2 linked regions of the Notamacropus eugenii genome follow. The protein of the gene in region 1 binds, or shares a complex with, the protein of each later gene. Links are inferred from orthologs where the notes say so. Each region holds a gene or a part of one and is shown in the gene's direction. Other genes may lie near its edges.

Evidence for each region.
Region 2: the proteins of RAB35 (region 1) and RUSC2 are in contact, whole or in part, in a crystal structure (PDB 6IF2), measured with the Homo sapiens proteins. The link is inferred for Notamacropus eugenii from reciprocal best matches to the Homo sapiens genes RAB35 and RUSC2. Residues at the interface, in NP_006852.1 of Homo sapiens: Asp4, Tyr5, Leu8, Phe9, Lys10, Ser22, Leu26, Asp30, Ile38, Thr40, Val43, Asp44, Phe45, Lys46, Ile47, Lys58, Gln60, Trp62, Thr76, Arg79, Gly80, His82; in NP_001129471.2 of Homo sapiens: Val997, Lys998, Asn1001, Asp1005, Val1008, Thr1013, Arg1015, Lys1020, Glu1119, Glu1155, Leu1158, Leu1159, Gln1161, Pro1162, Leu1165, Leu1166.

What each region holds. Positions count from the first base shown.
Region 1 is NC_092875.1:25,157,523-25,161,268, forward strand, and holds the start of RAB35 (ras-related protein Rab-35), read left to right. Parts: upstream 1-1,349; 5' UTR 1,350-1,484; coding exon 1,485-1,536; intron 1,537-3,746. UniProt on the Homo sapiens protein: The small GTPases Rab are key regulators of intracellular membrane trafficking, from the formation of transport vesicles to their fusion with membranes.
Region 2 is NC_092872.1:79,101,822-79,105,567, forward strand, and holds the start of RUSC2 (AP-4 complex accessory subunit RUSC2), read left to right. Parts: upstream 1-1,184; coding exon 1,185-3,165; exon of another isoform or gene 3,166-3,746. UniProt on the Homo sapiens protein: Associates with the adapter-like complex 4 (AP-4) and may therefore play a role in vesicular trafficking of proteins at the trans-Golgi network.

The sequences.
Region 1 (3,746 bases):
GAGGGTGGCCAGTGCTGGACCTGCATCTTCTGGCCATGGTCCACGGGAGAGGCCACTCTGGCTGAGGCATGGAGCAGGGGAAAGGGAGTTTCAGGCCTGGGTGGTAACAACCCTGAAGCTGGTGGTATGCCCAGACTCATGTCAGGGGCAGAGAGCAGGCCTGGAATTCACAGTTCTAGCCTATTTTCTCTGATTCTGAACTAAGATCCCACCGTCTTTGGCCTCTTTTTTCTAGTTAATTAACAATCACTTATTAATTAATAAGATTTGATAATCCATAAGTTATTAATTAAGTAATTAGTAAAAGAAGCCAGTGGTGCTCTACTAAGCCAAAGACCTGTCCGCGGCGTCTTTTTCTGAGTAATTAACAATCATTAATTAATGAATAAGATCTGATAATCAATAACAACCAGTTATTAATTAATCAGTAAAAGAAGACAGGGGCGCTCTCCCAAGTCAAAGTCCCATCTCCTGCATACAGCAGGCGCTTAATAAAGGTTACCTAGCTGATCCTAAGCCAGGGCTCGCCCCCGCTCACCCGGCACCTTTCCGAAACACTGGGTAGGGGAGAGGGGAAGGAAGTGGAGCCGCAAGCGCTGGGTTCGAGTCCTCCCTCGGTCCAGGGCGGCGGCAGACGGGTCGGCCCCACTCCAGGTTCCGCGGCCTCTCAAACTCTCGGGGTCCGCAAAGAGGGGACACTGCGGCACCTACCTCGTGGGGTGGCCGGGACGCTGCAGGGAGGAGAGGAGCTACAGAGGTGCCTGCTATCGGCGCACGAGGAAGCCCTCCGGCCCTTCCCGCCCGCGGCCACCGCGTCTGGCCTCGGCCCGGAGGTGGGTACTAGCCCGAAGGGAGGAAGAGCAGCGCGCGAAAGGCCTCCTCTCCACGCCTGCGCACCGCGCGAGGGCGGTGCGATGGGCCCGTCACGCATGCGCAGTAACGGAGCAGCCCGTCCTAGAGGCGGTGGCTGCGGCTGCGGCTGCGCAGAGCCCGTCGCAGGGAGTGAGGGGAGCGGGGGAGGCGGGGCGGCGGCGTTAGCGGCAGCGGTGGCGGCGTCCGTTCGCCCAGAGCCGGACGGACCGAGAGAGGAGGGTGGGGGTGGGTGGGTGGGGGAAAGTCAGGCGCCTGCGCAAAAGCGAGTGAGGGCGGGATTGTGCCTGGAGCGCGTGCGCAGAAGTGGGCGAGGGCGGGGCGGTGCCGCAGGCGCGTGCGCAGTGGCGACGAACGGGGCGGGGCGGGAAGCCGGGAGGCTAGGAGGGAGGGCGTGGGGGCGGGGGGGGCGAGGGGCGGAGGGAGGCGTTTCTGTCAGTTCCGGCTGTTTGTTCGGGAAGTGGATCCGCCGGGGCCCGGAGCTGCCGCGGCTCGCCAGGCCCACCCGCCCGCCGCCCGCCGCCCGCCCCCGCCCTGCGGCCCTCCCTCCCTCCCTTCCTCCCTCCCTCCTCTCCGGCCCGCCCGGCCTGGCCCGGCCCGGCCCGCCGCCCGCCATGGCCCGGGACTACGACCATCTCTTCAAGCTGCTCATCATCGGCGACAGCGGTGAGCGAGGGGCCAGGGCGGCGGCCGGGCCCGGACCCCTGGGCGGGAGGGAGGGAGGGCGGTGCCCGGGGGAGGGGACGGTCGGGGGAGGGGCGCGCGGCCGAGCGGGGCCGGGGCGCCGGCCCCCGTGACCCCGTCCGCAGGGGAGGGCAGAGGCCGTGGGAAGCCGTGACCTCGGCCTGGGCTGGGGGGCGGGGCGGGTGACCCCGGGTTGGGGAGCGGTTGCGGAGGCCCGTGACCCCTTTCCGGAGAGGAGGGTGGAAGAGGGCAGGGGTCGTTGGGGCGGCGACCCCGGCCCGGAAAGGGAGGCTGCGGGCAGGGATTGGGGATTGGGGCGCGGTGAGGATCGGGCACGATTTGGGGGGAGCAGGGGGGTGTGTGTGTCTGTCGGGGCTCCAGTGTTGGCGCTGTGGATGGGGAGGGGGGAGGAGAGCCCTGGGGGGTCGTCCCCGACTTGTGACCTTGCTGAAGGCGCTTTTCCCACGCCCTTCCCTCCCTCCCTCCTCGCCCCCCTCCCCCAAAGGAAGCAGGGGAGGTGGGCTGAGCACCACACACCAAGGACCCGAGCGATCATGCAGTCACTCAGGAAACTGAGGCCGGGAGGAGCGATTTGTCCAGTTTGCAAGTGACAAGAGTGGGATTTGAACCCAGGCCCCGGGCTCCAAGTGTAGCCACTTTCCCGGGCACTTGTGCAGAGATGGAGCCCTGCTGGGTTTCTGTTTCAGCGGGGCAGGTTCCTCTGAGGGCTGCAGAGGGGCCCTTCGTGTGGTTCGGGTGGGGAGCCCAAGGGTGAAAAGGGTCACGGGGTGACGGGGTCAGAAGGGCTGAGGAGGGCAGTGTGGCAGGTGTTCGAGGATTAGGAGGAAAGGGGAGGAGGCTTGGGAGCATGGCAGCTCTAGGCGATGGTCAGGGCCCAGTGTGGAAGAGGCTGTCATGTGATTGGTGGCAGAAGCAAGGTTGAAAGTGGAGCATATTGGGTGTTATAAAAAGCTTATGTTGGGGATGGTGCCGGGAGGATGAAAGGATTTAACAAAATTGGTTATAGACTGAGGCAGTAGGGGACAAGGGAGTAAGTCTGTTGTGGGGAGGGAGCCGGGAGAGCAGTGCTACCTGGTTGTTGGGATGGATATGGGCTGGTGCAGTGGTTTGGATAGGTCAAACAGTGGTGAGCTTTTATGGGCACAGTTGGAAAGTGAAAGGCAAGATCTCTTTGAGGTTTAGGGGATTAAAAAGATAGAGGCTGCTGGGGCTGAGGGATCCTTTCCTCGGTTTCTCTTTTTTCCTTCCTGAGTAGAATATAATTATGCTGCCTTTCTTTTGAAGATGAGTGGCCTTTAGAATTTATTTGTATACTCAGTGCACCATATGCCTTTTCAGGGGTTATATTTTAGTTCCAGATGGGGCAAAGGAATGGGGAAAGGCAGAGTTCTACGACTGAAGGTGATTTCCCTTTCCAAAGAATTAGTGTACTCAGTTGTTGTGGTTATGGGCCTTGTTCCTCAGGAGGACATCTGGATTTTGAGTGGAAAGGCTTGTTGTACTTTGAGATCTTAAAATGAAAAGCTGACTCGTAAATCTGATTCCCCCCCCTTTCTAAAGTCCAGGAAGTAGTTTTGACCTTGTTTCCCACAATACTTCTTGACATTGTGTGTGGTGTGTGGTAGGCCTCTTTAGGTCATGATTTATGTAGTTTTGCTCATATAACAGTCTATGAACATTTTCTGGCCAAGGTGTGTGGAAGTGGAAGTAAGAGAAGTTCTGGTCTGGCTTTGTGTGTAGTGACTTGTGTTGTGGGGCCTCTGGTGCTCCTCAGCCCTGAGCATGTTTGGGAGGGGAGGCTGAATGTGAGTAGCCTAACTTCACACATTATTCTGGTCTGAGAGGCCCTAAATTGTCTGCAGAGTTGGGGCTGGGAGCATTAACTGACCAGGGAGCTCATTCCCTCCACACAGACTTAAGCTCTTCATGCCTCAAGTGCAGTACTGCTCCTTTGAGGGTGTCTTAGTTTAGACTCTGAATTAAGAATGCTACATTTGGGATTTACCAGGGCATGGTGGCCACTGACCACTCCCATCCTTCAATTTGCAGTGTAGATTAACTGCTCAAACCACAGGAAAGCATCAACTGCCAAGATGTGTAGTCTCAGAAGCTTGCTCTGCTAATGTCAGTTGTGAGGGCTATGGTCAGTTGGTTTCACACCAGCTGTTGTT
Region 2 (3,746 bases), on another chromosome or scaffold:
CACTTGGGCAGTTTGGTGAGGCCTATGGATTCCTTCTCAAAACAGTTTTTAAGTACAGCAAATTAAAAGCATGAAGTTGCACAAGAAAACAAATTATATTGAAGTATAATTATCAGAATATTTTTCAAAAGATCTACACTTTGTTTTCTTAAAAGAGAGCCCATGCTAAACACTGAAGATGGAAAAAAATATTGAAAGATAAACATACAACATGTGATATTATTAGTCTCTCAGACATTGTGCTTAAGTTCCAAAAGCTAAGATGATGAACATTTTTGAGGATACTCTTATTGTCCACTTTTCCATCATAGCTTCTTGGTTCCCTATTAGAGCCAGTAATATTTGTTGTTGAAGACTTATCTGCATTTTTTCTTTTTGGAATAACTAACAGAAAATGGACAAAATTTCCTAGACAATGAATATTAAAAATCTCTATTACATATTGGAACTCGAGAGGTCAAGCCTGTAAGCTTGCATTAATTTTCAAAGAAGTACATAAAACTGAATCTAGGTCCTCCCACAACATATTTTATTCTTTCAGGAATAAGCCCTTATGGTGTAATAAAGTTCTAGATTTGGCAAAGGAGAACAAGAGTACAAGTCTGAACTCTACCCCTTATTCCCTGTTTCTGTCCACAGACCCCTTAGGCCTCAGGTTCAAACTCCTGCTTTAAAGAGAGTTAAGTTCTGGTTCAGGGAACCAGGTTGAGAAGGCCCTGGGATGTAGTCTAGGACTTAGATAACACAGGGGACAGACAGCTCGAGACTATGATGGCACAGAGCCTGCTGTGTTTGGGATTAAACTGTATTGGTTCTAATCTTTACTCTGTGACTTATTACCTGTGTAACTTTAGAGACTTCCCATCTCTGGGTCTCAGTTCCCTCATCTGTAAAATGAGAGTATTAGACTAGATGATCTCAAGTCCCTTCCAGCTCTAAGTCTTATGATCCTAGGATCCTTCCAGATCTTCTGTCCCTGAGAATGGGGCAGGGTTCTGTGTATCCTGGGGGGTACAGAAGAGAAGGTTATGTTAGGTATGGTGGGAAGTTCTGTGTGCTCCTCACTTGTGGCAAGGTGACATTGGGTTCCTTTTCTCTCTTTTTCTGTCTCTCCAGGTGCCAGGCCTTCCTGATGAGATGTGTCTTGCCCCAGAGGGCTCCGGGGGCAGTGTCTGGGGCCATTGATGCCCTCAGCCGAACTTTCCAGAATGGATAGTCCCCCCAAGCTGACAGGAGAAACCCTCATCGTCCACCATATTCCCTTGGTGCATTGCCAGGTTCCTGACAGGCAGTGCTGTGGGGGTGGAGGTGCGGGCAATGGAAGTACAAGGACCAACCCCTTCTGTCCACCTGAGTTGGGCCACCCTGACAGAGACCTGACACAGGCTGACTCTCTGCTCTACAGTAGAGTGCTGCCTGCCTCAGGAGGTGCTGTTGGGCCTGGGGATGGTCCTAAAAGCAGGAGCCGAGATGGGAGAGGTCCTGGAGTTCCTAAAAGGCATAATCCTTTCCTAATGAAGGAGGGTGAGCCAGAAGATGCATATGGAGATTGCGACAGTTTAACCCAACAGTCCTTTCACCTACATGGAAGTGGACAGCCCCCTTTCCAGCTGGCACCACTTGGCCCCAGAACAGGGAAACCCTGGGGAGCCACAAGCAGTCGAGCTGGAGTGATAGAAGGACAGGAGCAGGAGCCTCTGAGCAGTTCAGAAGCACAGAAGTGCAGCCGTGGGCATCATTGTCCCCCAGAGCTGGAGGCAGAGACCATGGAGCTGGATGAGGGGGGTGGCCCTGGGGCCAGTGACAACTCTGGTTTTACCTTCGACCAGGAGTGGAAACTTAGCTTAGATGAATCCCCAAGGAACCCAGGTGTCCGAGTCTGTGGCTGTTCAGGCTCAGGATCCCGACGCTGTCGTTGCAGCAGCACATCCAGCCAATCGGAGGTGGCCGATCAGTCCATGGGCTATGTTAGCGATTCTTCCTGCAACAGCTCAGATGGTGTATTGGTCACCTTCAGTGCCCTCTACAACAAGATGCATGGTCACTCCCGTGCCAATCTCAATTCCGCCCCTCTGTCCTGCAGTGACTCGTCCTTCTGTAGCCACTCAGACCCTGGAGCCTTCTACCTGGACCTGCACCCCTCCCCAGCTGAGTCCAAGATGTCCTATGAGTCCCATCACCCCGACAGTGGGGGTGGAGATGAGGGCTGTGGCTGCCCTCATGCATCCTCCCCTGAACTAGATGCCAACTGCAACTCCTACCGCCCACACTGTGAGCCCTGCCCAGCTGCAGCTGACCTCACCGCCTGCTTCCAGAGCCAAGCCCGCCTTGTGGTGGCCACACAGAACTACTACAAACTTGTCACCTGTGACCTGTCCTCACAGTCCTCCCCCAGCCCTGCTGGCTCCTCCATCACCAGTTGCTCAGAGGAACACACAAAAGGCAGTCCTGTTCCAGTCTCAGGCCAGCCCACTGAATACTACCTATTCCAAAAGCCGGAGGCCCAGACGGAGGAGCAAAAGGACAAGACTTCTCCAGCAGAAGTGGGTTCTGGGATGGGCCCAGATTTGATAGAGGGACAAGTATATGTCAACGTGTCTCCTCCCAACCTCAGCATTGGGCGCCAGCGTTCCCGTAGCTATGACCGAAGTCTGGAACGGAGCCCCCCAAACAGACTGGGGTCCCTGGAGCGCATGCTGAGCTGCCCTGTTCGTCTGAGTGAGGGGCCCTCCTCGTTGACTGGGACTGGCTCCCCACCCAGACGGGTCACCTCCTTTGCTGAACTGGCCAAGGGCCGAAAAAGAGGTGCAGGCTCAGGTTCACCTCCCCTGCGGTTGAGCACTGGCGACTCCTCCCTGGAGTTCTCACCCATCCCTGAGGCCCATCGGGATGGGGCAGGCGCACTGGATGAGGGTGCTCGCTGTAGCCACAGCCTACCATCTCTTCCCCTTGGACTCTGCCTGGACCCCAGCAGCCTGGAAGCCCAAGCTGACAAGGGCTGCAGGGATGGCCTCCAGCAGGGTCCCCAATCCAGCGAGTTGCAACCCACCAGTTTTGGAGCTACTGGGCAGGCACCCCTGGCTCTTTTGGTGGAGCCAAGTTCTCCTTTCCCAGGGATCCCAGCCAGCAGCCACGCACAGAGGGATATAAGAGCTAGAGCTGACGGTAAGGATTGGGTAACCTAGTTGAACCACAGCAGTCTGGGATGTCAAATGCCAGTACATTGGGGGACCATTCCTGGCTCTGTCTATGGAATACCTGAATAGAGTCTGGAGTAGAGGGAAAAGATGGAAGACTCTAGGGAAATAAAGAACTTTGAGGACACTCCCAGTCAGAAGTATTCTAAAGATTCTGAGGTAGGAGGTGCTATGGGAGAAACACAAGTTGTATAAAATGCACTTTCTGTATTTAGGGGGCCAGCTGTCTAGTGGAGGACATAGGAGCAACACATATGAGACAGTTAGATAAGAACACCTTATTAAATTATCAGGTTTCCAAATGCATTTAGAGAAGAAACAGATTGGTGTGGGGGAATCAGAAAAGTCTTTCTAGAAAAGACAGGACTTGAGCTTTGCTTTGAAGGAGGTATAGGGATTGGATGTGCAGACAGGCTGGGTGGAGGGCATTTGTAGCTCAGGATAAATGAACTAAGGTACAGAAATGAAAATAACCACAACATGCAGCCTTCAGGAAAACACTGAAAAGACTTGACCTGACTGGAGTGGATGGAGGGCACATGTTAGAAA